Linked DNA regions of Macaca fascicularis. The protein of the gene in region 3 interacts with the protein of the main gene of each other region in a pairwise test. Links are inferred from orthologs where the notes say so. Each region holds a gene or a part of one and is shown on either strand. Other genes may lie near its edges.

Evidence for each region.
Region 1: the proteins of DMRTB1 (region 3) and EXOSC1 interact in a two-hybrid assay, tested with the Homo sapiens proteins (2 studies listed by BioGRID). The link is inferred for Macaca fascicularis from reciprocal best matches to the Homo sapiens genes DMRTB1 and EXOSC1.
Region 2: the proteins of DMRTB1 (region 3) and NIF3L1 interact in a two-hybrid assay, tested with the Homo sapiens proteins (2 studies listed by BioGRID and IntAct). The two-hybrid records come from large-scale screens. The link is inferred for Macaca fascicularis from reciprocal best matches to the Homo sapiens genes DMRTB1 and NIF3L1.
Region 4: the proteins of DMRTB1 (region 3) and RBPMS interact in a two-hybrid assay, tested with the Homo sapiens proteins (2 studies listed by BioGRID). The link is inferred for Macaca fascicularis from reciprocal best matches to the Homo sapiens genes DMRTB1 and RBPMS.
Region 5: the proteins of DMRTB1 (region 3) and RBFOX2 interact in a two-hybrid assay, tested with the Homo sapiens proteins (3 studies listed by BioGRID). The link is inferred for Macaca fascicularis from reciprocal best matches to the Homo sapiens genes DMRTB1 and RBFOX2.
Region 6: the proteins of DMRTB1 (region 3) and VASP interact in a two-hybrid assay, tested with the Homo sapiens proteins (2 studies listed by BioGRID and IntAct). The two-hybrid records come from large-scale screens. The link is inferred for Macaca fascicularis from reciprocal best matches to the Homo sapiens genes DMRTB1 and VASP.
Region 7: the proteins of DMRTB1 (region 3) and SLAIN1 interact in a two-hybrid assay, tested with the Homo sapiens proteins (2 studies listed by BioGRID). The link is inferred for Macaca fascicularis from reciprocal best matches to the Homo sapiens genes DMRTB1 and SLAIN1.

What each region holds. Positions count from the first base shown.
Region 1 is NC_088383.1:106,390,234-106,393,733, forward strand, and holds part of EXOSC1 (exosome complex component CSL4), read right to left. Parts: intron 1,486-3,500; coding exon 1,452-1,485; coding exon of another isoform or gene 1,445-1,451; intron 530-1,444; coding exon 479-529; intron 47-478; coding exon 1-46. UniProt on the Homo sapiens protein: Non-catalytic component of the RNA exosome complex which has 3'->5' exoribonuclease activity and participates in a multitude of cellular RNA processing and degradation events.
Region 2 is NC_088386.1:96,632,240-96,636,369, forward strand, and holds the start of NIF3L1 (NIF3-like protein 1), read left to right. Parts: upstream 1-1,330; 5' UTR 1,331-1,932; intron 1,933-4,130. UniProt on the Homo sapiens protein: May function as a transcriptional corepressor through its interaction with COPS2, negatively regulating the expression of genes involved in neuronal differentiation.
Region 3 is NC_088375.1:181,219,375-181,223,462, reverse strand, and holds the start of DMRTB1 (doublesex- and mab-3-related transcription factor B1), read left to right. Parts: upstream 1-1,288; 5' UTR 1,289-1,311; coding exon 1,312-1,882; intron 1,883-3,631; coding exon 3,632-3,804; intron 3,805-4,088.
Region 4 is NC_088382.1:33,583,769-33,588,057, forward strand, and holds the start of RBPMS (RNA-binding protein with multiple splicing), read left to right. Parts: upstream 1-1,489; 5' UTR 1,490-2,050; coding exon 2,051-2,116; intron 2,117-3,509; exon of another isoform or gene 3,510-3,552; coding exon of another isoform or gene 3,553-3,555; intron 3,556-4,289. Other genes in the region: uncharacterized protein, read right to left, coding at 716-1,477.
Region 5 is NC_088384.1:15,621,971-15,626,141, reverse strand, and holds the start of RBFOX2 (RNA binding protein fox-1 homolog 2), read right to left. Parts: upstream 2,801-4,171; 5' UTR 2,725-2,800; coding exon 2,539-2,724; intron 1-2,538. UniProt on the Homo sapiens protein: RNA-binding protein that regulates alternative splicing events by binding to 5'-UGCAUGU-3' elements. Prevents binding of U2AF2 to the 3'-splice site.
Region 6 is NC_088393.1:53,567,455-53,571,447, forward strand, and holds the start of VASP (vasodilator-stimulated phosphoprotein), read left to right. Parts: upstream 1-1,193; 5' UTR 1,194-1,486; coding exon 1,487-1,491; intron 1,492-3,993. UniProt on the Homo sapiens protein: Ena/VASP proteins are actin-associated proteins involved in a range of processes dependent on cytoskeleton remodeling and cell polarity such as axon guidance, lamellipodial and filopodial dynamics, platelet activation and cell migration.
Region 7 is NC_088391.1:68,771,851-68,775,350, forward strand, and holds part of SLAIN1 (SLAIN motif-containing protein 1), read left to right. Parts: intron 1-327; coding exon 328-610; intron 611-2,628; coding exon 2,629-2,704; 3' UTR 2,705-3,500. UniProt on the Homo sapiens protein: Microtubule plus-end tracking protein that might be involved in the regulation of cytoplasmic microtubule dynamics, microtubule organization and microtubule elongation.

The DNA.
Region 1 (3,500 bases), on a different chromosome or scaffold from region 3:
CGGCAGTGGTTAGCAGGTAGTTGGACTGTGCATCACCTAGGGAGATCTAGTCACATAACACTGAAGGAAAATGAGGAGTTAGAAGTCTTCCCCCAACCTTAGTCAGCTGAGTTGTTTTTCTACTTTCTCTGTTTTGTTTTTTTGAGACGGAGTCTTGCTCTGTTACCCAGGCTGGAGAGCAGTGGCGCGATCTCAGCTCACAGCAACCTGTGCCTCCAGCGTTCCAGCGGTTCTCCTGCCTCAGTTTCCCGAGTAGCTGAGATTACAGCCATGCGCCACCACGTCCAGCTAATTTTTGTATTTTCAGTAGAGACAGGGTTTCACCATGTTGGGCCAGGCTGGTCTCGAACTCCTGACCTCAGGTGATCCACCCGCCTTGGCCTCCCAAAGTGCTGGGATTACAGGCATGAGCCACCACGCCCAGCCTCCATCTCTTCTTTTGACAAAAACCCAGAAGTCTGCTGGGAATAAAGGATACCACTTTGGCCAAGACAATGTCACCTGGGCGGAAACTCTTATAAATTTCAACCTGTAAAGAAAGAACAGGAATGGTAAGTGAAAGTTCTAGACTGGGTCTATATGAAACTGTGAACCCTTCTGGTAAAGCCAGTCTACTTTCTAATCCTGGAGGGTAGAAATCATCATTACTCATGTCAAGTCAACAACTTTTAATTGCTTCTATAGTATTATCATACAAATGAAAAGTTGTTTGTTGTTTTTTTTTTTTTTGAGATGGAGTCTCGCTCTGTTGCCCAGGCTGGAGTGCAGTGGTACGATCTTGGCTCACTGCAACCTCCACCTCCCAGGTTCAAGCGATTCTCCTGCCTTAGCCTCCTGAGTAGCTGGGATTACAGGCGCGCAGCATGACGCTGGCTAGTTTTTGTATTTTTAGTAGAGATGGGGTTTCACCATGTTGGTCAGACTGGTCTTGAACTCCTGAGCTCGTGATCTGCCTGCCTTGGCCTTCCAAAAAGCTGGGATTACAGGTGTGTGCCACCGCACCCAGCCCTTTTTTGTTAAGGGTGGAATCCCACTGTGTCACCCAGGCTGGAGTGCAGTGATGCAATGGTAGCTCACTGCAGCCTTGGACTGCTGGACCAAGGGATCCTCCTGCCTCAGCCTCCCAAGTAGCTAGGACTACAGGTTTGTGCCACCACATAACCTCAAACTCCTGGGCTCAAGCAATCCTCCAGCCACATCCTCTCAAGCAGCTATGACTACAAGCATGAGCCACCATGCCCGCTAATTTTTAATTTTTAAAATTTTTGTAGAGACAGGGTCTCACTGTGTTGCCAGGGCTGGTCTTGAAGTCCTGGCCTCAAGTGATCCTCCCGCCTCAGCCTCCCGAAGTACTGGGATTACAGGTGTGTGCAACCATGCCTGGTCTGAGATAATACTTTTAAGGGATTGAGATTTGTAAAGCCGTTAAAAAAAGAGAACCAACCAACAACCTTGTCTTTTTCAGTTGCTCGGACATCTTCCTTGCTATAAAAAAAGAATTAACAGAAAGATTAATTATCTGTGAGAAAGAATTTTTTTTTTTTTTTTTTTTTTTTTTTTAAGACAGAGTCTCCCTCTGTCACCCAGGCTGGAGTACAGTGGCACGATCTCGGCTCACTGCAACCTCCGCCTCCTGGCTTCAGGCATTTTTCGTGCCTCAGCCTCTCAAGCAGCTGGAATTACAGGCATGTGCTGCCACGCCCGGCTAGTTTTTGTATTTTTAGTGGAGATGGGGTTTCACCACATTGGCCAGGCTGGTCTTGAACTCCTGGCCTCAGGTGATCCACCCGCCTCAGCTTCCCAAAGTGCTGGGATTACAGGCATGAGTCACCTTGCCCAGCCTGTGAGAAAGAATTATTCTGTAGATTCCTAGTAAATAAAGAGCTACAAGAACAGACAGAACAAGTCTTAATTGGGACCCAGCTGCTACTCAGAGGAGCAGGGTGGAGAAGCATCCTCAGACCACACGGAGCAGCAGTATCAATACCTGATTAGATAAAGGCAGATCAGATTTGGCAAGAAACGATAAGGAGTTTTGTTGCCTCAGGGCTTGAACAGAAGCACTATAGCAAGGGTCCCCAAGTTCTGGTGGCCTGTTAGGAACCGGGCTGCACAGAAGGAAGTGAGTGGCAGGCAAGCTTCATCTGTATTTACAGCTGCTCCCCAATCACATACATTACTGCCTGAGCTCCGCCCCCTGTCAGATCAAAGTGGGCATTAGATTCTCATAGAAGTATGAACCCTATTGTGAACTGTGCACATGAGGGAGCTAGGTTGCCCACTCATTATGAGAATCTAATGCTTGACGATCTGTCACTGTCTCCCATCACCCCCAGATGGGACCATCGAATTGCAGGGAAAGAAACTCAGGGTTCCCGCTGATTCTACATTATGGTGAGCTGTATAATTATTTCATTATATATTACAGTGTAATAATAATAGAAATAAAGTACAGCATAAATGTAATGCACTTGAATCATTCTGCAACCACTCCCACCACAGTCTGTGGAAAAACTGTCTTCCAAGAAACTGGTCCCTGGTGCCAAGAAGCTTGGAGATTGCTGCACTACAGAACCACATCAAATCCTGAGGCTGGAAAGGGCCTCAAAAGTTAGATTATCTGCCTGGCAAGAAATGTTTGTCCTTTCTCAAGGAAGCCACAGGAAATCACCGTCTCACTCACAAATCTTTTCAATGTTTTATAACCTCTGAGTTCAATCTATATTAAAATTTTTAAAAAGTGCTTCCTAGAATGCCTTCCACTTTGGTTTGAGTCATCCTGACACTGATAAACTTCAGCTTCACTCAATTCTTTTTGCTTTACTTTTCATTTATTTATTTGTTTTTTGAGACAGGGTCTCACTTTGTCACCCAGGCTGGAGTGCAGTGGTACAATCTCAGCTCACTGCAACCTCCGCCTCCTAGGCTCAAGTGATCTTCCCACTTTAGCTCCACAAGTAGCTGGGACAACAGGTATGCACCACCATGCCCAGCTAATTTTTTTTTTTTTTTTTTTTTTTTAAGAGATGGAGTCTCGCTGTGTACCCTGTGCCGGAGTGCAGTGGCGCGATCTTGGCTCACTGCAACCTCTGCCTCCCGGGTTCAGCCTCCTGAGTAGCTGGGATTACAGGCACACGCCACCATGTCCGGCTAGTTTTTGTATTTTTAGTAGAGACGTGGTTTCACCATATTGGCCAGGCTGGTCTCAAACTCCTGACTTTGTGATCTGCCCACCTTGGCCTCCCAAAGTGCTAGGATTACAGGTGTGAGCCACTGTGCCCGGCTAATTTTTGTATTTTTTACAGAGACGGGGTTTCACCATGTTGGCTAGGCTGGTCTCAAACTCCTGATCTCAAGAGATCCATCCGCTTCAGCTTCCCAAAGTGCTAGGATTACAGGCATGAACCACTGTGCCCAGCCTTTGCTTTACTTTTAAACCCTCTCTTGTTAATATTTTCCTTTTGTCCTAGCTCATCCACATATTTTTGGATACTACTAGG
Region 2 (4,130 bases), on a different chromosome or scaffold from region 3:
AACAAAACACCATCTTTCCAGTACCACTCCCAATCACATACGACATAATTTATCCTAAACGCAATGTTAACACAATCAATTTGGGAATGGTAAGAACCACCTTCTTTTCAGAAATCCTTCGAACAAAATCGAAAATCTCTAACCTAACAACTTGAAAACGACATTATATAGAAATTCATCAACTGCCGTTCTTTCTTCCAAGTGGAACCCCTCTGCGTCTTTGGCTACAATTTTTTTTTTTTTTTTTAAAGCCTGTCAAATTTAGCTGTAGGGGTTGTATACTAATTTTTGTGACACTAGTAACTACTAAGTTATAATAACCCATTACCATTGGACCAGCCTGAGTACAATTTCTAAAGCCCTCCAACCGGGTCGGGGGCCGTGGCTTATGCCTGTAACCCCAGCACTTTGGGAGGCTGAAGCAGGATGATTGCTTGAGCCCAGGAATTCGAGGTCAGCCAGAGCAACATAGCGAGACCCTGACTCTACAAAAAATAAAAAATTAACCGGGGGGTGGTAGCGCGCGCCTGTAGTCCCAACTACTCAGGAGGCTGAGGTGGGAAGATCACCTGAGCCCGGATTTCAAGGCTGCAGTGAGCCCTCATTGCACCACTTGCACTCCGGCCTGGGCGACAGGGGCGAGACCTTCTCCCCCCACCCCAAAAAAAAGGGAGGCGGGGCGCGGTGGCTCACCCCTGTAATCCCAGCACTTTGGGAGGCCGAGGCGGATGGATCACCTGAGGTCAAGAGTTTGAGGCCAGTCTAATACGATGAAACTCCGTCTCTACTAAAAATACAAACATTAACCGGACGTGGTGGCGCGGGCCTGCAATCCCAGATACTCGAGAGGCTGAGGCAGCAGGAGAATCGCTTGAACCCGCGAGGCGGAGGCTGCAGTGACCCGAGATCGCGCCACTACACTCTAGCCTGCGCGACAGAGCGACACTCCAAGAAACAAAAGCTCCAACTGCTAACCCAAGAGGAGTACGCTGAAACGCCATCGCATAAAATGCTCGGTCACCAGACTTTTGTCACAACGCTCCTTCAAATACACCCCGGCATTTCTCTTTCCTTAGGTTCCCAAGTCTCGTTTTTGTTAACACCACTGAGGACAAAGCCACTCGCGACGTTTACGCCGACCCTTTAACCACTAGACATTAACTGTAACCCCCTACGGGTTCCGTCTCTTCCTCCACTTGCTCCAGACGACATTTCCCCACAGCTGCGTGCTTCAAGCACATTCCGGAACCCCAGCAAACCCCACCCCCAACAGGGAGCCTCGCCTTTCCGGCCACAGTGCCAAGGCCGGCCTCCGCCCAGCCGCCATCTTACAGCTCGGCCGAGGCGGCCCACAACATGGCGCCCACCCGACCCTCCCACGTCAGGCGGCGCCGCTCCCTCAGCGGAGGGCGAACACTCCAAGAGGGCGGCCGGCCTAGCAAACACCGTAACTACTCCCGCAGGCCGGATCCGGCGGCGACGGGCTCGGCCGCGCAGGAAAGAGGGGCGCGCCGCCATTATGCAGCCTGGGAGTGAAGGGAGCAGGCAGTCGTCGCGCCAGGGACGGCGGGCAGCAAACAAGCGGGAAGTGGTGGCATCGCCAGGCGCCCGCGAGGCTCACAGGAACGGCCCTGTCACCTAGTCCGCTCCCTCCTGCGTCTTACCGTCCTGGACAAAGACTCCAAGTCGAAGGAGACAAAGCTTGTAACGCAATCACGGGAATCACCCAGCTGACTGCGACGAGCACCGACAACAAAATGGAGCTGACAGCTGCTGCGTCGGGACTCGCCTCGAAAACACCGATGACGCAACGAGCGCGTCTCCGCCGCGGGGCGGGGCATGCACGGGGCGAGCAGGCGGAAGGGGCGGGCGTCCGGAGCGTTGGCGGACGCGTGACCACGGTGGGCGCAGGCGCCGGGGCGGGAGCCAGAGGTGGGTGATGAAAGGAAGTTGTAGATGCTTGCTGTGTTGTCTCTAATCTCCCGATACCGAGAAAACATTGCAGTTTTAGGGGAGAGTGTCGTCCCCACTCACTGAAAATTGTTTTTGAACGCTAGAACAAGGAATAACTTGTGAACAAGGAAAAGTGAGGGACTCAGGATACACAATAGCACGTGCCCTGATTGCGACCACTAAAACAATTACTTTAAAAATAATACTTCACGGCGCGATGTGTCTGGCGCGTAACCCTAGCACTTTGGGAGGCCGAGGAGAGCGAATCGCTTGAGCCCAGGATTTCGAGACCAGCCTGGGCAGCATAGGGAGACCCCTGTCTCTAAAAAATAAGTAAATGTTATACCACTAGCGTCAGATGGCTTCAGATTACTAATGGGATCAGTGAACGTGTCAGCTCAGTGTGAGCCAACAGAAATCAATGTTCTGCACCTTGATCCTCATGGTGCCTGCATTAGGCCCACCGTGGGTAGCCAGCGTACCTCCTATGATGCTTTTATGGCTGTAACTTGAGTACACATTCTAAGAATAAAACTCCTTGATAAGTTTTTGAAGGGAAGGCCAGCGTTAAAGAAACAGAGTGGCGGCTCTACAGCAAATGCAGGCTTTATGTCCAGCCTAAGATCTACAGAAGTGGGGGACCAGCCTAATGCCGGTGCCCACCAGTGGGATACTTTTAGGTAAGGGCGGGAGGGGCCTGGGCCATAACGCTTACTGGCTTGCTGCCCTGCAGGATGTTAAGATGTTCCCATAACGAGGCGGTTCTGGCCCTTGTTCCCGCGGAATGTGGTGGTGGTGGGTTTTTTTGTTTTGTTTTTTGTTTTTGTTTTGAGATGGAGCCTTGCTCTGTCACCCAGGCTGGAGTGCAGTGGTGCGATCTCCGCTCACGGCAACCTCCGCCTCCTGAGTTCAAGCGATTCTCCTGTCTCAGCTTCCCCGGTAGCTGGGACTGCAGGCGCGCGCCACCACGACCCGCTAATTTTTGTATTTTTAGTAGAGACGGGGTTTTGCCATGTTGGCCAGGCTGGTCTGGAATTCCTGACCTCAGGTGACCCACCCGCCTCGGCCTCCCAAAGTGCTGGGATTACAGGGGTGAGCCACCATGCCCCTGCAGGAATGCGGTGTTCTTCGCACTTTCTCACAGCAGAATATGACAGAGGTGTTTCTTTAGTGGTGCGTTTGTCCGTTTTGTGGTCAGGTGGTTGGGCAGGATGTTTCTCACAGCCCGAACCCCCGTGGAATGTTTCACTTTGACCAAGGTCTGCAAAATAGCCTGTGGGGGAGACGGGGCAGGGCCGGGGGAACGGGGGAGGGCGGGGGGCAGGGATTTACAAAATGGTGCAGTTTGGACTAACACTCTTAAAACCAAAAAATAACCATATTTGCACCACTGATTAAAAGTGGCAGAGTTTAGAATAAAACCTGGAGGAGGTCGGGTGCGGTGGCTCACGCCTGTAATCCCAGCACTATGGGAGGCCAAGGTGGGTGGATCACGAGGTCAGGAGTTCAAGACCAGCCTGGCCAAGATGATGAAACCCCATCTCTATTAGAAATACAAAAAATTAGCCGGGCGTGGTGGCAAGCTCCTGTAATCCCAGCTATTCGGGAGGGTGGGGCAGAATTGTTTCAACTTGGGAGGTGGAGGTTGCAGTGAGCCGAGATCTACCACTGCACTACAGCCTGGGCAACAGAGCAAGACTCCGTCTCAAAAAAAAAATAAGTGGAGCCTGCGAGTCCTGACATCACTTACCAGGAGCCACAGGGAACCCAGCTGGCACAGCAGCAGCAGCCTTGCTTCTATGAGATCAAACAGTTTCTGGAGTGTGCCCAGAACCAGGGTGACATCAAGCTCTGTGAGGGTTTCAATGAGGTGCTGAAACAGTGCCGACTTGCAAACGGATTGGCCTAATCAAGAAGTTCAACCTGGAGAGATGGAAAATCAGCTCTCATACCTTAAGTTAATTTAGTGTAAAAATAGAATTGATAGTGAAGGTATAAAGTGTAACCATCAGTTAAACCTCTCCTGTCATTCCTAGCTTCCTTACTTCAGAACTGAAATGGAAGGGGGTGTGTTCCTACTCTGTAGAATTTGGGACTGGGCAAAATGTGTTACCTCCTTAAACTAGCTGTTATGATTTTATTCTTTGTGAGTTAATTAGAATAAAGTCATTTTCTTC
Region 3 (4,088 bases):
CACCTGTAATCCCAGCACTTTGGGAGGCCCAGGCAGGCGGATCACCTGAGGTTAGGAGTTCAAGACCAGCCTGGCCAACATGGCGAAAACCCCGTCTCTACTAAAAATATAAAAATTAGCTGGGCATGGTGGCGGGTGACTGTAATCCAAGCTACTCAGGAGGCTGAGGCAGGAGAATCGCTTGAACCTGGGAGGCAGAGGTTGCAGTGGGCCGAGATGACGCCACTGCCCTACAGCCTGGGTGACAGAGTGAGACTCTGTCTCAAAAAAAAAAAAAAAAAAAAGAAAAAACAAAACAAAAAAACCTTAATGTCCTTGGGTAAACTATGACGTTTGTGTTAGCTTTTCAGATGTCCCAATATTTGCGTTGTTTTATAAGGATAACAAAATTCATGATGAGGTTAAGCAATTACTGAAGCTAGTGCTAGACAGTTTTTTAATTTAATTTTTTAGAAACAGGGGTCTTGCAGAATTTGTTTTATTTAATTTTTTAGAAACAGGAGTCTCGCTATGTTGCTCATGTTGGTCTCCAACTTCTGGGCTCAAGTGATCCTCACAAGCAGCTAGGGCTACAGGCACAGGACACTATGCCAGGCTTAGTGCCAGAATATTCTGCCTATTTTACTTTAAAATATTCTAAGTATGCTTACTTTGGAAGGCATGAACATCAGCAATGTGCCATCCTCCAGAAGAGGATTTCTACACAAAGACTCTCAAGAAACGGGAATTACTGCAAGGGCATACCCTTGAGCAACCATCACACTGCACTGAGCTCTTGAAAATATTCTGGAATATCCTGGAAGCATCTCTGCACGGCAGAGAAGTGAAATGCCACAGAAGCAGCAGCTTTAGGGAGGAGAAATACGGTTTGCCTCTTACAGTGCTTTTCTACACTGAAAGCTACATTCCTCCCGAGTTTTAAATCTGTGGACCGTTGAATATCACTCCGCCTTTCCTGAAGTTACAAATACCTTCCGTCGGTGGCGGGAATAGAGTTTGGAAAATTACATGCCTAAGACTTCAGATAAGCTAAATGACATACATGCAATAGAATCCCATTAAGAATTTATGCAACCCAGTCCATTGCATCTAATTACCCAAAGCACAGAAACTCTCCAAACTGTGCACCCCCCAAAAGGAGGGAAAATGCAAGGTTCTTGCTGCAGTTCCCGGGACACACTGCGAGGTGCTTTGTTACAAGTGTATCCAATGTCCCCAGAACCAGGGACTTGTGGGGCGCGGCTCAACCCAGCGCCACTTGCTCTGCAGCTCCCAGAGGTGGTGGTTGTGCTACGAAGGCTGACCCTGCCAATGGCCGACAAGATGGTGCGCACCCCTAAGTGCTCGAGATGCAGGAACCATGGCTTCCTGGTTCCCGTCAAGGGCCACGCAGGCAAATGCCGCTGGAAGCAGTGCCTCTGCGAGAAGTGCTACCTGATCTCCGAGCGCCAGAAGATCATGGCCGCGCAGAAGGTGCTCAAGACGCAGGCCGCCGAGGAGGAGCAGGAGGCGGCCCTGTGTGCGCAGGGTCCAGAGCAGGCCTCCGGGGCCGCGGCCGCCGCGCCCGTTCCCCTCCCGGGCGGGAGCCTGCGCCCTCTGCCTCCGGGGACTCCCTCCGGAGACGCCGAGCCGGGACCCGAGGGCCGCGCGGCCGCCTGCTTCTTCGAGCGGCCCCCGCGGGGCCGGAGTCCCGGCCCGAGCGCCTTCCAACCGGTTCTGGGCGGCCGCGGCCACGTGGAGCCGAGCGAGCGAGCCGCCGTGGCGATGCCCAGCCTTGCGGGACCCCCTTTTGGGGCGGAGGCCACAGGCAGTGGCTACCCCGGCCCCCTGGACCTGCGCAGGCCGCTGCGGCCCGTGCCTGGCCCGCCGTTCACCGACTTTGGTAAGTCGTGGCCTCAGTCCCGCGGTGGACTCCCCGAGCTGGCAGTACAGGCCAGCCCGGATGGGCAGCTGGCATAGGGGTTTGGGGTGGGGAGAATGCTTTCCACGGGTAACGTACCTTCTGCTTTAAGAAACCCTTCTTGGAACGGGGATTTGGATTGGGTACCTTTTCGCAAAAAGGAAACATAAGGGAATGGGCGGTTCAGAGGGCTTTTTTTTTTTTTTTTTTTTTTTTTGAGACGGAGTCTCGCTCTGTCGCCCAGGCTGGAGTGCAGTGGCGCGATCTCGGCTCACTGCAAGCTCCGCCTCCCGGGTTCACGCCATTCTCCTGCCTCAGCCTCCTAATAGCTGGGACTACAGGCGCCCGCCACCACGCCCGGCTAGTTTTTTGTATTTTTAGTAGAGACGGGGTTTCACCATGTTAGCCAGGATGGTCTCGATCTCCTGACCTCGTGATCCACCCGCCTCGGCCTCCCAAAGTGCTGGGATTACAGGCTTGAGCCACCGCGCTTGGCTCAAAGGGCTTTTAACATTTAGCTGTAGTTTGTGCCATTCTGGCATGCAAGAACAAAATGGCGTCCAGTCGACTTAGCAGTGCTTCCTCCTCCGGGAAGAGGCCTCGAGGAGCCCAGTCCTACTGCGCTTGCGCACCTCTTCCCGCCATTTCCTTGGGCTGGAGGCTCCTCCTCCAGAATAAGAGACTTTTCCTGCCGGCAGGTTAGCGCAAGGACGACTGCGCCTGCGCACTCTTCCTTCCCTGTTCGCGGTCGGGAGGCTCCTCCCCTCAGCACGGCCCTGGACCAGTGCGCCTGTGCACCTCTTCCCTCCCTTTCCCCACGTGCGGGTGAGCCGAGCCTGCTGCTTTACTACACGTAAGAGAACAGTTGGTCTGTAAAGATGTTGCCTTTCTTTTTGCCCCTCACCTGGTACATAAATTACATTGTTCCCTGTGCCTTGGAGCTTTCGGTATTGAAGTACAGTTTCAAGTCACATGTACATTTGAAGCTTTAAAAGCCCCGGGGTTTGGTGTGGACGCGTTTTCCTGGTGTCTCCCCATGGTGGTGTCGTGGGACGGGCTGAGGCCGAGGCGGGAGCCTGGGTCACGCTGGACAAGCTCCTGCCCTCTGTGTGCCAGGGCATTGGTCCAGAGGCTTCCGCAGGCTCGTCCCGCCTTCCTGACTTTCCAGGAAAATCTAGGTCCCCAGGGAACGCCCCATCTGATGGGGTCACAGGTCTGAAACTGCAATTCTAGGAGAAGCCGCCTTTCTTTGTTCCATCTCAACAGACAAGCAGGGCTGGGCTGAACTATGAGCCAGGCATTCGTGATGAAGGACGCGGGTCACATTTCTTGCCCTCAGGGACCTTGTCCTTGTGGGAGGGACAGGGTTGATTGAAGAGTCACACAAATCGCTGTCCAGAGCTCGAGCCATGGCCGGGTTCACTGTTGACCCGGAGGAAGAGTAACTTGGCACGGAGGACTCGTAGAGGCAGAGTGTGGGCAGACGGCGTGTGGGCAGCGGGGAGCCGCAGGCCGGGGGCCCACAGCGGGCTTGATGGCCGTGCCGAGGACTCTCCAAGAGCAGCGGGGCTGGCTGGAGGATGGAGATGCAGTGAGGGCCCAGCGGAAGGAAGGGCGGGGTGGGCTTTCTGTGCTTGGACAGCAGCGCTTACGACTCCGCCGGCCTGTGCCACCCTGCGGATGCTTTTCCCAGCGGTGTCTAACACTTCCCTCCTTGCTTGCCTTCTTCAGGGCGCCCTGTGAGCATCAACCCGGACCGTGCACTGGGCCCTGAGTACCCTGGCGGCTCCAGCATGCACCCCTACTGCCCGTTCCCGCTGGGCTACCTGGACGCCCCTCCTGGCGTCCCCCTGCAGCAGGGCTTCCGGCATGTGTCCCGCAGCCAGTACCAAGGCGGAGGCTTGGTGAGTCCCACCCCTCATTTCTTGCCAGCTTCCTCCTCCTCCCAGCAGCCCCTGTTGCTTTGATGGATCCTCATTCCCAGGAAGCCAGCTGTCATAAACTGTGTGCCCACTCCATGCCAACCCCCGAGTGCTGGTGGATGGCTTTACGCACTGCCCAGACACAGTGTGTGTGTCTCTGGGAGCACACGTGTGGACCAGTCTGCACCACTCGGCCTGGGCTATGGCCTGTGCTTTTCAGGGCAGTGGGCTGAAAGACTCTGAGCATTCAGGGTGACCCCTTCCTT
Region 4 (4,289 bases), on a different chromosome or scaffold from region 3:
AATCAGTATAAAGAATGTCTGCTGGGGGGTGGGGAGAAACAGTTAAGCAAATACTGTAGTTAGAAACTTACTGGTGCAGGACAGGAGCAGCAGGCTGGGACGGAGAATTCCTGGGAGTAAGAAGTGGGGCAGAACCCACTGATACATGGAGTTCCACATTTATACATTTGTAGCAGTCAAATCTAAGAGTTTAACACAGTGGTTCCAGACAGTAATTCCATCAGTTTGGGAGGCCAAAAGCCGGAGGATCACTTGAGGCCAGGAGTTCGAGATCAGCCTGGGCAACAAAGTGAGACCCTCATTTTTCTAAAAAAAACAAAAAAAAAAAAACAAAAAAAACAGAGGCTTTAACGATCGAGTATTGGAAAAGCTTTCTAAGGCCCGGGAAAAATGGAAGTTTCCTTAATAATAATGTTAGCTTCCATGTATTGTAAACCTAAACGAAGCAAGAATGAATACTGGGTGCTGTACATAGTTCTATCAACCTACAATCTCGAAAACGCTAGGAGACACATTCAGCTGCTCCCATTTAACGGATGAGGAAACAAGTACGCAATCCTGAAGTTGGTGCAAAGCCCAGGCCCCCTTTCTTCTTCAAGTGTGCTTCCAGCCTCTGAAATTCCTCCGTGTGGACCCCGAGCTCTGCCTGCAATGAGGAATATTCACTTTGCCAACAAATATTTATTGAGTGCCTACTATACACCCGGTAGCTCGTTTAAATAGCCGTGGGATTAAAAAGATAAATAGGGTAAGTTTGTGGTTTTTTCTTCCAGGAAGGAGCTTTCTGAAGGGTGAGGGAGAGGCCAAGTAAACAATCCCAGAACAGTCGGGTGAGAGTTGGGAGAGGAGTCGGGGGCCGCGGGACGCCCAGGCAGCGAAGCGGGGAAGGCTCCGGGCGCGTCGCAGGACCCGCGCTGGAGATGGGTTTGAAGCCCTGTCCTGAAAAAGCCGGCCCGGAGGGGGCTGTCCCCGGTGTCCCTCGAGTTCTCATCCTGTCATTCAAACAGCAGGGGAAGAACCGGGTCTGGCTCGGGAAGGGTGGGCTTAGGGCCAGGGGTGCAAATCCCATGGTAAAAGCCGGCAAACAAAAGTCGCACACATCCCAGCTCCCGGTCCTGGCCCCGGCGGGGCAGGGTCCCCGAAGTCCCGGGGCGCGCAGACGCCGGGGCCCCCGGGGGCCGAGGGAACTGCAGTACCCGACCTCCCCTGCCCTCGGCCTCCAGGGCCCTCGCCCTCCGACCAGCCGCCGAGTCTGGGGCTGGGGTCGCCGCTTCCGCCCGCGGCCCGCGGCCCCTCCCCGGCGCGCGCCATCCGGCCGCCGGCCCCTCCTCCCGCGGGGGGCTCCGTCCCGCGCCCCGTCCCTCCGGGCTGCAGCCGGCAGCCCACGTCCAGGGAGGGCGGAGGGAGGAGGAGAGGCGCGGAGAGGAGGGAGGGGAGAGGGGAGGGAGGAAGACGAGAGAAAGGGAGCTGCTTCCATCCCGGACTTCCCAGAGCCTGCCTGGAGCGCGCACTCAGCGGCTCTCGGGTCCCAGCGTCCCAGCCGCCGCCCGCGCCTCTCCGCCCCGCTCCTCCTCCTCTTCCTCCTCCTCCTCTTCCTCCTCCTCCTCTTCCTCCTCCTCCTCTCTAGGCACCCCCGTCCCCTCCTTCCAGCGGCTGCAGCCCCCAGCCCCAACTCTCTGCGCTTACTCCTGGGACGCGCGTCCTCGCCCCATCCTTTGCTTCCTTCCTTCCTTCTTCCTTCCTCCCCTGGCTCCCGCCCTCCCTATCCAGGTCGCCCTCCCGGGGCCCGATTGTCTCGGTGCCCCGCTCTCGGCCCGCGCCCTGCCCCGTCTCTCCCTCGTACTTCCTGAGTCGCCCGCCGCTGCCGTCGCAGTCTCGCCGCGGGAGCCCCAGCCCGACAGCCACTGCCCCGGCTCCAGCTCCAGCCCCGCAGCCCGCGGCGCCCGCCCGAGGGAGCCCCGGCGCCCGGGGAAGGCTACAGTGGGCGAGCGCGCCCTCGCCCAGCCCCGCGCCCCAGCCCTGCCCGGCCCGGCGAGGAAGGACCGGGAAGATGAACAACGGCGGCAAAGCCGAGAAGGAGAACACCCCGAGCGAGGCCAACCTTCAGGAGGAGGAGGTACTGGGCGGCTCGGTGCAGTGGCGGGGGCGATCCGGGACCCAGTGCGGGCGGCCGGCGGGGCGCGGGCGCGGGCCCGGGGCGCGGCGGTGGAAGGTTTAGGCATGGCCCGTGCCCGGGACGCAGCCCCGCAGTGTGGCCCGGGGAGGGTGGATCTCGGGAAAGTGTGTTTTTGTGTCCACGCGCGTCTGCGGGCCCCAAATTGCGTAACTCTAAGGACTTTTCGGAGACTTTTGTAAGTATAATGCTCAGCTTTGTTTGCCCGGGATTTAAAAAGTGGAACCGAGAGCTGACTCCTGGGTGACCTCAGATATCGGGACTCGGAGGGTCAGGACTTAGGGCTGGGGCTGGAAATTGTGTGTGGATTCGGGGTAGCGGGGGGGCAGTTTAAGGAAGAAACTCGGGGAAAAGTTTTCATTAAAAGATACCTCTGTTCCCTGCCCCCTCCCTTTCCGTGTTAAAAGTTCTTGGTGAAATATCTTTCTAGCCGAGGGTTTTTGGATTAATAGATAACTCATCAGCCACATTCTTCTCTGCTGAGTCAAAGACCCCGAACCTGGGCGGTGAACGCTTGCGAATTTAGGGCCGTGCAGATGAGGGGAGCAGAATAAGAGGGTTAAAAACGCAGCAATTCACCAAATGCTCATCGAGGATACTTTTATAGGACTTTGACTTCTGAGCACGCATTTTAGGTGGTGCGTCCTCACGATGAAAGTTTTGTGACTGCGGAGCGTTCCTTCGGTGGAAACAAAATTGAGTAGATGTGGTCAGAAGGGGAGTCGGACTCAGGAACAAACGTTTCAGAATTCAGTAGTAGGGTATTTGTGGTATCCTACCAAATGACTGTTTCTGCAGGTACATTATCTGGAGTCCAAGAAATTACTTCTGGCGTACTTTTTAATATCACACACAGTTGAGTTCTTAACATTCTAGAGGAACTTGAGAGTGTGTGCAGATGCAGGAAAGTGCATGTCTCAATATGACCCGAAAAGATTCACACAGGTATTGCATCCTGATCTAGGTGAACACAGAAGGTAAACGGATTCTAAAGCGTTAGGACGTTGAGATCATTGTTGAGACACTGTTGTGTGCAAACTTCAATTCTGATAGTGAAACCAAAATTGCAGAGGAATTCATTAATGCATACAAGTTCTCTGCACATTGTCCACTTGGAAAATGGGAACTATTTAGGTGGAGAAGGTAGAGGAGCGAGACTATGCCAAACAGTGCAAAATCGGAGATTTTACTCTCTTACCCAGTTGTATGGTAGTGAAAACCTAGATGAGTTGCAGTCAGTCAAAAATTGCTTTCTCACCCGAGGACATTTTCTATTTTATTATAAAAGACTATTTGAAGAGTTGTTTACATGCATGTTTTCTAATTACAAGTGTAGGAATGCTACTGGCGTTTCTTTTTTCAAAGCAATGGAGAGTTGAATGGTATGTTCTAACTTTTTTTCTTGAACTTTACTGGCTGCTTTGCTATTTATTTTCCCTACCACTTAAAAAAATTTAAAAATAATGCTTTTTTAAATTTGCTTTTTTAGGAATTACTATAGTTAACTAATTCACTTACCATATCAAAATAATTATCGCTTCAGAAATCTTCCTATTTCAGCTAAATGTGCAATCTGTTTGCTTCTCAGGGTTAGAATATTATATCAAACCATCTTTATTTACCCAGTTGAGAAAACTTTTTTTTTTTTTCCTTTTGGTGGGTAGCAAAAGAGGTTCAATGTCCTAAAAATCATACCCACTTAAAATTAAGTATAGAAAAGGCACATTTTTCCGCTTGACCCATCTTAACAGCTGCCAGCACCGAGGGATTGCCTGCCCTGTTCCTGGACGCTCCTCTGTCCTTGCGAGGTTGTGTGTAATAATTGCTGTATAATCGCGGACCATTGCAGTATGGTTGCTGCCTCTTACTTGTCCTGTTACCTGACAGTGTTCTTTTTCAGGTAGGAATGGCATGAGGCTCTAGAAAGTATCGATATTTTTAGCAAAACACTTGTTATGTAAAAAATAAGGGGACTGGTAGGAAGATTTCAGAACCTAAGTTGTCCAAGAGATGTCGTGTACAAAACAGATAAGACTGTGAAGAGAGGGGGTTTATAATGTCAGAAATTCAGGAAAAGAAACTAAGGTGGCCTGAATGATCCGGGTAATTTTGCCTT
Region 5 (4,171 bases), on a different chromosome or scaffold from region 3:
TGGACTTATATCTTTTAGAAGGTAACTTAGAAACCGGCCGGGCGTGGTGGCTCACACCTGTAATCCCAGCACTTTGGGAGGCCGAGGCGGGCAGATCACGAGGGAAATCATCTTGTACACATACTTTATTTTATAGCTAAGGAAAACAGAGGCCCCAAAATGAAAGATTTCTGCAGGCACTCAGCTAGTTGAAGGCAGGACCTAAATCAGTGATGATCTGAATACCTGTATGACATAGGGGAATGGACCTACAACAATGAGAATGCACAGAAGGCTGGGTGTGGTGGCTCACGCCTGTAATCCCAACATTTTGGGAGGCTGAGGTGGGTGGACCATCTGAGGTCAGGAGTTCGAGAACAGCCTGGCCAACCTGGTGAAAATCCCCCTCTACTAAAAATACGAAAAATGAGCTGGGCATGGTGGCACATGCCTGTAATCCCATCTACTCAGAAAGCAGAGGCAGGAGAATCGCCTGAACCCAGAGGTGGAGGTAGAGGTTGCAGTGAGCCGAGATCGTGCCATTGCACTCCATCCTGGGCAAAAAAAAAAATGTATAGAAAGAAAATAAACAAAGAACACCCACAAATACACAGAGTGAAAAAAGGATTCTCAGAGGGATAGTTCTCAGCTACCCCCAAGGACCTAACCACTCTTTCCTCTGCACACCCCTGTGAAGTCCCTACATATTGCTCCATTTCCGAATATCACTATCTTTAGCCAATTTGAAGGCAACCAGCAGATAATAGGCCCCAGGAGTAAATGAGGGAAAGGGATGGGGGTCTCACTATTAACTATGATTGACAGAAATGATAAATGAATACATACAGACATACACACACACACACACACACACACACACAAAGTAGAACCTGCTCACCAGCACCTATATCCAGTCTTCCCTCCTTACCATCCAATATTAGCTCACCTCACCTGCAGTCTCCCATATTCCTGTCTTTTTTTCCATGGCCCTGAGCTTTTACTTCTCACAATCCCTCTACCTGACAGAGTTCTAATGGAAAATAAAAGCAGGCAAACAAAACAAAAGAATTCAAAAATAAACACCAAGAGGGTCACTTTACCTAAATCAACACAAGTAACAGGGTAAACTCTGCAAAGGAGACCAAGAAGCACACAACAAATACGCTAGGCTTAAGTACAGCTCCGTCCCTAACACAGGAAGTCAGGCAGAGGCTTGAAAAGCAGGGAGCAGAGCACAGGAAGTCTTTTAGCACTGCAGAGATTTCCAAGAGTGGTGTAATGGAGACAGCACAGGAATAGGAATTAGAAGACCAGGCTTCTGGTTCTAGTTTTACTATCAGCTAACTGGGTGGCCTTACCCAAGTCACTCATCTTCTCTGGACTTCTGATTCCCCATCTATAAAATAAGGTGGTTAAAACAAGCTGGGACTCAAATCCCCTCCAAAAAAAACCAAGATGAAAATTATTGACTCTCTGCCACCAAAAAGTGCACATCACCTTTTATAAGTAAGAATCTTCCTAGTCTGTCCAGGTTAAGAACCCCTGGAAAAGATGTCTAGTCTTCCTCATCCCTCTAACATCCTATGACTCTGAGAGAACTAGGCACATGTCTGCACAATTGCTGATAGGTGAGACTCACCATTTCATAGCAGTATTTTCTGGGCAGAGACCAAACCCTAAAACCTACAAAGGTTTCAAGGTCTTCCTCAAAACTATGAAGTCAACTGACATCATCAATACCTTTCCCATTCCCTACCCAAATTAACCACTTTTATCTTTGAATCCAGAATTGAGAATCCAGTCTTCTAATAGCCCTATAAATTTTTTTTTAATAGCCCAGGACATTAAAGAGCTATTTTGTGTCCTGGAGATGTAGAATGCAATTGGCAAAGAACAGGAGGGACATGTCTGGTGTCTCCCTTCAGACTCATTAGTATGCTCCACAAAGTTAATGAGACTGAGCACCACCGTGTCCCCACAACATTACCAAACTCCCTGTACTTCTCACACTCTCTGTGTGTTTTAACCCACAATCTCAGCCACATCCCCTCGGGGCTCTCTCTCGGAGTTTTCTTGCTTTTCACTCCTCTCCTTGAAACGCCACTTCTCTTCCCCATCCCAGCGGGTGCCCAGGGCTGCCAAAAGGTACTCCCTCTTCTTGGGAGGTTTCCCACGAGATCCCCTCTTCCTCGACTCCGTCCAGAGAACCCAGGATTTCCCGGCTTCCACTCCACCCCAGGGCACTAAGGAAGGATTTGAAGAAATGGAATCCATCTCAACCACGTTCGATTTCCCCCCAAAACCTATCCACTCGTCGTGCCTCCTCGCCCCTCAGGAATCAGGACCCTCTCAGGCACACCAGGATCAGTCCTGCAACCTTCGTTCCTAGCCCGAGCTCGCCCCACCTTCCAACCAGGCCCCGACTGGTCCCCCCATCCCACCTCCAACCCAGGACCCCCGGAGGCCCTCCCTCTTTCCAAGCCGGGGAGCCCGGGGTCGCCCCTCACGCCACTCCCCCTCTCCCCCGCAATAACTGGGCGCCCCGTCCCGCGCGGTCACCTGCATCCCGCCGCCACCGTCGGCCGCCGCCTCCTCAGTGCGCGGCCGCTTGCTCAGGCCAGGATCGGCTCCGTCTCCTCCGGCTCCGGGCACCGGCAGCTCCAGCTCCGACTCCCGCTTCATGCCCCGGGCAGCGGCGCCGGGCCCGAGCTGAGGCGGCTGCTGCGGCTGGGCGCCCTCCGCCATCCGCCCGCGCCCCCCTCGCCTCCGGGAGCCGGGCGACCCGCGACAGGCCACCTCCCCCTGGGCCTCGGCCCCGACTGTCGCGACAGGCGGGCGCGCGCCTGCCCCCGCCCCCCGCGTGCGTGCGTGCGTGCGTGCGCGCGAGCGCGCGGACTCCGCGCCCCTCCGCGGCTCGCACCCGCAGCTCCTCGCCTGGCCGCTCGCTCGCTCGGCCGCCCGCCCGCCGGGTTGTCGGCGCGGGGCCACTGGCGGGTCGCGACGGGCACTCGCTCGCACCCCCGCACGCACACGCGACACCCGGCCCGGCCCGCCGCGCCGCCCCGCCTCTCGCACTCCCGGAGCTCGCCCGCCGGCCGCGCTGGCTCACACTCTCCCTCACAACACGCCGGCCGAGGGAGGAAGGGGGCGGTCCGGGCTCCCAAGGCGTAGGGAGGGCTGTTTATTTGGGGGGAGGAGGGGCGCGAGGCAGGAACGAGCTGACTGGCCGGGATCCTCCGACCCGCCACTGTGGCAGCACCGGGAAGGCGGGGAGAGAGAAAGAGGGAGGGAGGGACCGGGATGTAGGACTCCAGCCCGCGCGGGAGGCTATGGCTAGGGGGGCGGTGGCGGCCTGCGGATGGGCGGGGCCAGCCCTTCTCGGCAATCTCCGTCGCCTCCTCGCTAGCTGCCCGAGGGAGGCTGGGAAGCGATCGGGGAAGCTCGGGAATCTCCGGCACGGGCCTGGGACTGTCCTGGAGGCTCCGCGCGGCAGGAGTGCCGGCCAGCGCAGAGGGGGCGGGGTCAGTCTCCTTTTGGGGCGGGGCCGTAGCTTGGAGCAGGCGGGGCTTGAGAGACCCGAGGGCCAGGGAGTGGCTCCTGCCTGTGGGACTAGTTGTACAGTGTTGTGTCCTGAGTTTACCCGCCTGAGCACCTTGGTTCCCGGGGAGGGAATGGGCACTCTGTGAGAGGCAGGCTATTTGCCTGCTTCCCCTCCCGCAGAAGGAAAAAGATCTCGAATTGGAAGGTCGAGGAATGAAGCCACCCGTCTGTAGTTCACCCCAGCTCTGAGCGCTTTTACTCTGACATAACTCACATTCCTAATGAAGTTAGTACTAATATCCGATGTTTGTAAGAGTTTTAGGGTTTGCACAATGCATCCACAGACCCATTTCAAACTGGTAATATAGGTAGATACCATGATCTCCATTTCATTGATGATGAAACTGAACCTTAGTTAAATCCTGCAGCAAAAAAGTGGCAGATCCAGAATTCAGAACGCTGGACCATACTCTCTTTCTCTACACTTTGCTGCCTGAGGAGCTCTTTATGACTTGTCAACTTCGTGGAGACAGAGATATCTGTGCAATAGATTCTCTCCCCTACCAGACTGTGAGAACAAGGACTGCTGTGATTTCCCTGGGTTCCATATCGTGCCCTGTACATTATAGGAATAAAAGGATATTGCGTGAAT
Region 6 (3,993 bases), on a different chromosome or scaffold from region 3:
AGGAAAACATCCGGACATGGGACTCGGCTTGGAAATACGCTGGAAAAGTGGATTCTCTCACCTAGTCAGCTGGCCCTGATAATTGTTGGTTTTACACTCAGATCTTGGTGGCTTTCCGGGTTCTGGGGGCTCAGGCAAGAGGGTCATAGGCCAGATTCATTCCCTGTCTCCAGGCCTCAGTTTACCCATGTGTAAACGTGAAACTGATTTCCCAGGGCCTCACCCGGGCCCTCACCCGGGCCAGGTGGCGCTCTACCCAAGGGGCGCGACCACATCAGTGACGTCACTCGGGGCGTGGCCGGCAAGACACGCTGCGGAAGCCTCGGAGGGTGTCTGGGCTCAGCCTGGAGCCGGCGTGTGGGGGCGGGGGCTCCGGGGAGGGTCTCCTCACCTCCGGGCCCTCCTGAGGGCTGGGATGATCCTGCTGTCCTCCGCAGGCGAAACTGAGTCAGAGCGGGGCGTACGTGGGTCGGAGGCTTTACATACCCAAGAAGCCGGCGCCTCCTGCCCACCTCGGGCGAATGCCAGGCCCCCAACTCCGGCACTCCTCGCCAGTCCCCACCTCCACCCCCACCCCACCCCCGACCCTGCGGCTGTGAGTCAGCGGCCGACCGCGCCCCCTTGGCCCACTTCCTCCTCACCTTCCCGGGGCGGGCGGGGTGGGGTGAGAGGGGTGGGGCCCTACTCCCCCCCACCTCCCCTCCCGCGCGGGTGGGGGGCTCGCCCCCTTAGTAACCCCTCCGAAATTGACAGAAGAGAGACGCTGGGGAGGGGCGGGGTTCCGAAGATGGAATTTCAGGGAGAAAATCTGAGACCACTTGCTTAACTAACTGGAGGGTCCTCTTCGACCCCCAAAATTGAGCGGAGTACGAGATGGAGAAGTCGATGGGGAAAGAAATCGTGCCCCTTCCGAGACGCTCCTGAGAATTCCCACAGTGGAAGCGAACTAGGGAGCAAGGGAGGTCGCCTTCCCCTTCACCAAGCTTGCCCCTCCATGTGGTGGTGACTCCCAGGGTGCACCCCTGGACGATAACGTTGGGGAGAGCAGCAAGATCGCGGAAGCAGAGGGTGCCGAGTTGCCCTTTTAAGCGCCCTCCACCCCCTCGCCTGGAGGCGCGCGCGGCCCCTTTAAGGCGCGGGGCATTGTGGGTGCGGGGAGTGGAATTTTGGAACGAAATGTAACGAAGAGAAGTACAGTAGTAAGAGTAACAGTGTAGCCGCCGCCGGCAAGGGGGGCGCGTCGGGGAGCAGACGCCGCATCCCCTTTCTGCCGCAGGGACCTCTCATCAGATCGCCTGAGGGAAGCGGCGCCCGGAGACCCGCCCCGGCCCGGTCCACGTTCTACCCAGGAAGCCGGACTCTATGGGGCGGGACCCTGGGGGAGCCTGAGTCGAGCCCGGAGCCAGCCCCGAACCCCTGAACCTCCAGCCAGGGGCGCCCCGGGAGCAGCCAGTCCGTGGGCGCGCCGCCCGCCCGCAGATCAGCCATGAGGTGAGCCGGACCTGCCCCCCGACCCGTCCCCGCCCGGGCGGGCTCCGCGCCCCGCCTTTGTCCCCCTCCCCCCCAGCTCGCTCCGGGCTGGAATTTGGGGACAGATCCTTGGGAGCCTCGGATTTGGGCTGAATCCCCTAGGACAAGCCCCAAAACCGTCGATCACTTCTCCACGACTGACTTCCCAAGCTCGGGGGGTGGTGGCGGTGAGGTTCCCCTGGGAGCCCTCAAGATTTGGGGACGCTCGGAGGACTCCCGAATTGTTAAGACTTTTTTTCAGAGGACCTCAAAGTTGGCAGCGACTCCCCGCAGGGATGCCAGGATTGAGGCAGGGCTCAGACTTTCCTCCCCCTCCCCCCAAACTTCAGCTCGAGGTCGGGGAAGGATTGTGGGGGACTGGTTTGGGAGACCCTGGGACTTGGAAGAGAGACTGAGACTCAGACCCTTGGTGTGCAGGGACCCCGTTTACGTGGTGCTGGAAAAAGTCTCCCCAAGTGAGACCGCGCTCCTGAACTTCGGGGGTACTTCTTAATCCCCTAAATTTTGGGGGGCACTTAGGTCTTCCTGTGGAAGAGGCTGGTATGAACCGATCCAGGGACCCGGACGCAGCCTCCGGAGTCTGGTGGGATTCCCCTCCCCCGTCGCTCCGCACGCAATCTGCTTAACAGGCAGTGCCTAGGACAGAGCGGGCGCTCGGAGCAGAGGGCGGCTCCCTGCCCCGGGCCATAAGGGCGGCCCGGCTCCCCCACCTGCGCGGCCCTGGGGAGGGAGGGGACGCAGCAGCTGGGGGAAGGGGGCCTTTGTCTTCCTGACTCACCTGTCGAGACAGCTGGTGTGGGGGGCGGGCACCGAGCGCTGTGGGCCGGCTGCCTTCCCCACCACGGCGCCTCCCCCTTTGCTCGCCGCCCCCCCCATCCATCCGGAGCCTTGGGGTTGGAGGAGGGGGAGCTGGAAAGCTTCAAGGTCATAGCCCTCTTCCCTAGGGACCCAGGCTTCCCAGATAATTCCAGCTATCTTCCCAGGAATTTAATCCTGGGGGCGGCGGCCCAAGGGACCCAGGGATTTGGTCTGGCCGGGGCCTCCCCCGAACTCCTGGACTCACCTGAGGGCGGGGCCAGTGTGGGCAGGGGGACCCAACCATCCTCCCATTCTCCCCTCCCCTGGCCCCCCATAATCTCTCCCATGGGGCCAGAGCCTGACAATACTATCTCCCTTCCTCCACTCTCTCTGGGACTTCCTGCCCCAAAGCCCCCAGCCTTAGCAGGGAGGCCCCTGGGGACGGCTGGGGATTAACCCCGTGGTGCCCACATCCCCTGCATTTCCTGAACCCCTGCCCTTTGACATCGGAGTGGAGTGGCGTTCCTTTTTATGACCACTAGAGAATTCCCCTCCCGCGTTTGTTCCTTCTGATGTGAAAGGCATGGCTGGAAAATTTGGAGCAAGGAGGACACCCACAGATACCCTCAAGACTTCCTGCCTATCCTATCCGCTCCCCATTATAGCAACATCCCTTCCAAGTCCGCCCTGGAGAGGGGTCAGTTTAGGGAGCGTCGCTCTCTTCCTTCGCCCTCTTCCTCCGGGACTCTTCTCTCCCCTTGCCCCCCAGCCCCGCCCCTCCACCCCCCTCGCGTTTCCGGTCCCAGGCTCAGTGGAAGGCGGATGGCGGATGTCCGAGTTAGTGCTGCCTCACTCACTGCAACCGTAAAAGGGCAGGAGTGGTGTCTGGGCCGGCCCCCTGCCCTCCCCACCACCACCACCACCACCACCAGCAGCCCTGGAAGCCCTGGCCCTCCCACAGGGCCCACCTCTTGCTGGGGCGGTGATCAAGCATCCCACCTTGTGGGGGTGCTGGGGTGGGGTGCAGTGCAGAAGTGACCAGATGCCTGTCCCACCAGAAGGCCACTCCCACCTTTCCAGGGGTCTCCCCTGCAGGTGGTCACACCCGACTTACTGGGCTGTGCCTCTTCTCCAAGGACAGCCAGGATTCAAAACCCATGCCCCTATTACCCAGCTGGGGAAACTGAGGCTCAAAGAGAAAAAGACATGGCCAAGATCCCTCAGAAATTCCTAGGCAATGTTGGAGGGGTGGAGGAACCTAGGATCCTCTGATTTCTGGCTGGTTTGGCTGGGGGACAGTCCTGGGGGCAGTTGGAAGAGAGGATGTTAAAATGGAAAATTACAAGATATAGTTCTTTTTCTCCCAATTTGACAAATATTTGTTGAGTGTCGGCTGTGTCCCGGACTGGAGCTGGGGTGCTGGGAAGACAGAGAAGCGAGGCAGAGGTCTAGAATCTCAGGGCAGAAGGGACTTGGGGAGAATTGGGGTCTATTTCTTTCTTCCAATAATAGCTATTTTTATTTTTTTTAAAATAAGAGACCATTTGATCAAGCATCTATTTTATGTGGGGCATTTTTGTGCCTGACAGCAATTCTGGGTTGTTTTTTTTTTTTTTTGCTCTTGTTGCCCAGGCTGGAGTGAAATGGCGCGATCTTGGCTCACTG
Region 7 (3,500 bases), on a different chromosome or scaffold from region 3:
TCCTAATTTCTAGCAAGCAAGCAGGGAAGACTTTGTCTTGTAAGAACTCAGAGATCATCACATTTGTAAAGGAAAGGAGGCTGTGCTTAGAACTGGCTTCTGCATATAGCCAGGCACTTCAAAATGTGGCTCATGGACAGACCAGGAGATCCGTATCAAGGATTAGAATTTTCCATGACTCAGTGCCATCTGGTGCCTATATTCCATTTATCTCCTTCTGTGTATATTGTACTCTCAGGCATAATTGGCTCTTCTGAAAATAGCACACATTTCCTAAGTTGGATAGTGGTAGAAGCTCGCTCACATGAATATCATTTTCTCTTCTAGTTCCATCACCAGGACAGCTTCAACACAGAGTCCACAGCGTGGGGCATTTCCCAGTGTCTATCCGACAACCTCTTAAAGCCACAGCCTATGTGAGTCCAACCGTTCAAGGCAGCAGTAACATGCCTGTATCAAACGGCTTACAGCTGTATTCCAACACAGGAATCCCCACACCGAACAAAGCTGCAGCTTCTGGGATAATGGGTCGCAGTGCACTCCCAAGACCTTCGTTGGCAATAAATGGGAGTAACCTGCCTCGAAGCAAAATTGCACAACCTGTTAGAAGGTAAGAATCTTTATTTGCATAATTTCATTTGCAGTTTGGAACTAGAAACTGCTCCAGACACACGCTGACCTTTCCTTTGGCGCACTTTAACCTTAGTAAGTCACTACCCTTTGTGGCCTGACTTGTGCTCTCCTCCCTTTGAAAAGTGATGGATATCCCTGTGTGGGTCAGGTCCCTTTCTCTCTGATATCATTTTCTTCCCCTACTCCCTCATCACTATCACTCCTAACACTTTTGCTTTTACCAGACAAGCTCTGTCTCCAGAGCTTTTGTAGCTTTCTTCTCCCAAGTTACTTGCACGGCTTGCTCTGTGCCTCCTTCAGGTCTTTGCTCAGACGGCAGCTCTATCCAAAAATTGTAGGGCAGGGGGAGTTGACTCTTTGGTTCATTGCTGTGTGTCCCCAATGCCAAGAACTATGCCCAGTATGGGTAGGATCTCAAATATTTGTTGAATCAGTCATTTTTAATGAAAATATGGAAAAATGTGTCAGGCATATGTGCACATGCACACCCTCCTCCCACACATTTATGGTTTGAAAAGCATCTTAATGACATTCACCTGGGGCTTTATCAGCTTATGTTGGTAAGTTCAGTATGGTTCAGGTAGAAATTTTTTTTTCCCCTTCAAAGTTTCAGAGTTTTTTTTTCTACTTCAAAGGACATTTTAGTCCAGCTCTTGGTCATGATGTACCTTCTTGAACTGAATATTATGGAGTGTCTTATATTAAAAATCCATAAAAGTGGTTTGAGGAAAGATTGAGGAAATAAAGACAGTAAATACAGACAGCTCTTTCAAGAAATTAGGATATGAAGGAGGAGAAGGAGGAAACATAGTAAAAATTTGAAAGAGGTGGAACAAGCAATTTTTTCTGTCTTTATGCATTTATGGATATATAAATAGTTCTGTTTTTTGTTTAGAAGTAATGGATGCTCAGATCAACAACAAATTTCGAAAAACAGAAACTGTTGAAAAATAGAAAAGTAAAGACTGACCCATAATCCTACTACCAGATAGAAACAATTTTGGTACATGTTTATTTATTCAGTAATTTTTGGCTTATTCTGCTTTGTAAATGCCGAGCTGCGTCATCATGCTGATGGCTGACTAGAATCACATTATTTGATATATATGGTTATTATAGACCATACATTATTTATCCTTGAATTTGTGTCTCCAAACTAAACACTTGGAAAGGTCACTGCTAGACAATATAAGATGGTCTGTTTCCCCAAACTTAAGCAAATACTAGGTATTATTCCTTTTAATTTTTTTTAATTTAAATTTTTTATTTTATGTATTTTTTTAGAGACAGGGTCTTGCTCTTTTGCCCAGGCTGGAGTGCAGTGGTGTGGTCATAACTTGTTGTAACCTCAAACTCCTGGGCTCAAGTGATCCTCCTGCCTTGCTAGGACTATAGTGCATGCCACCACTCCCAGATAATTTGAAAAAAAAATTGTAGAGATAAAGGTCTTGCTGTGTTGCCCAAGCTGGTCTTGAATGCCTGGCCTCAAGTGTTCCTGTTGCCTTGGCCTCCCAAAGTGTTGGGATTATAGGTGTGAGCCACTGCACTCAGCCGAAGGTTCTTTTTAAATGTTTTGCCAACATGATAGGCAAATCTTTAATTACTAATACGATTTTGAAAGTTTATTCGTATTCATTTGCTGTTTGTATTCAACAGAGTAACCATTTATGTTTTTAGGCCATTTTTCTAGCCAGGAGTCTGTATTTTCTTATTTTAAAATATGTTTTACACATTAAGGGTATTGGCCCCTTTATTTATGTTGGAAATTTACTTGTGCAAATACAACACGCATGACACTCTGCCATGAACTGGGGCTTTGGGAGATAAGCATGCAGTGAAGACCCGTAAGTGTGAACCACAAGGTACACTTGAGATATTGCCAATGGCTTCTCGTTACTGCAGTGGAGGAGCATAGATGGGAGAGTAGGTCAAAGTAAGTAATGTGACTTACAGGATTATTAACAATCTCTCTGTGTTTTTCTTGTCTCTTTTTAGTTTTCTTCAGCCTCCAAAGCCTCTGTCTTCACTCAGCACTCTGAGGGATGGAAATTGGAGAGATGGTTGCTACTGATGCAGTTTTATGTACCCTTGAGAAATGGGAAAGAAGTAAAAATGAGGGTTGTGTTACCTAGCTGGCTGGGTAGCAGTGGATGTTGGGATATTCTTTCCCTTTTGTGTTTTAATATATTTACTGCATTGTTTCTCAATGGACCAGTCACCAGAGACTAATTATTGCACTTAAATATTTGCCTGAGATACTGCAACAGTCTCAAACCCATGGTTGCAGTATTGTGACACTTAGATCTAGGAAGTTTTTGTAGAACTGCTCTGTACCTGAATACTTTTTGAGAGAATTGAGATGTATCAATAATGCTTTGCCATAGAAGTTTTTTAAAGTAACTTGTTCAATTTACTTACGTGTTCTAAACATCTTTCCATTACATGTTCTGTATTTTAATACATTGCATATTGACAACTAGGTTCTATAATGTATGCTTTGAAATTTACTTTTTTATAGTTTACAGGAATTTTATTTTTTGTGCCTATTTCTTTTTACACCTATGTGAACCACTATGGAACAACTTAAATTTTGTGCCATAAAAATATTTTTGTGGTAAGGTACTATTTTTTTAGCTCTAGGGATATATCAGCAAAAACACATCATGCAATTTGAGAGACATAATTTTGTGTTGAATGAGCACAACATAATTTGAAGCATTGCAAGGAGATAGCCAGACAGCAGAATTAAATGGTCCTGTCTTTTTCATTGTTAATTTATTGTCATACATGGGTTTCATATTTATAACGGCATCATGAGCTCATTGCACTTAATACCTGCAATGTTTGCTACTGTACCACAATTGATT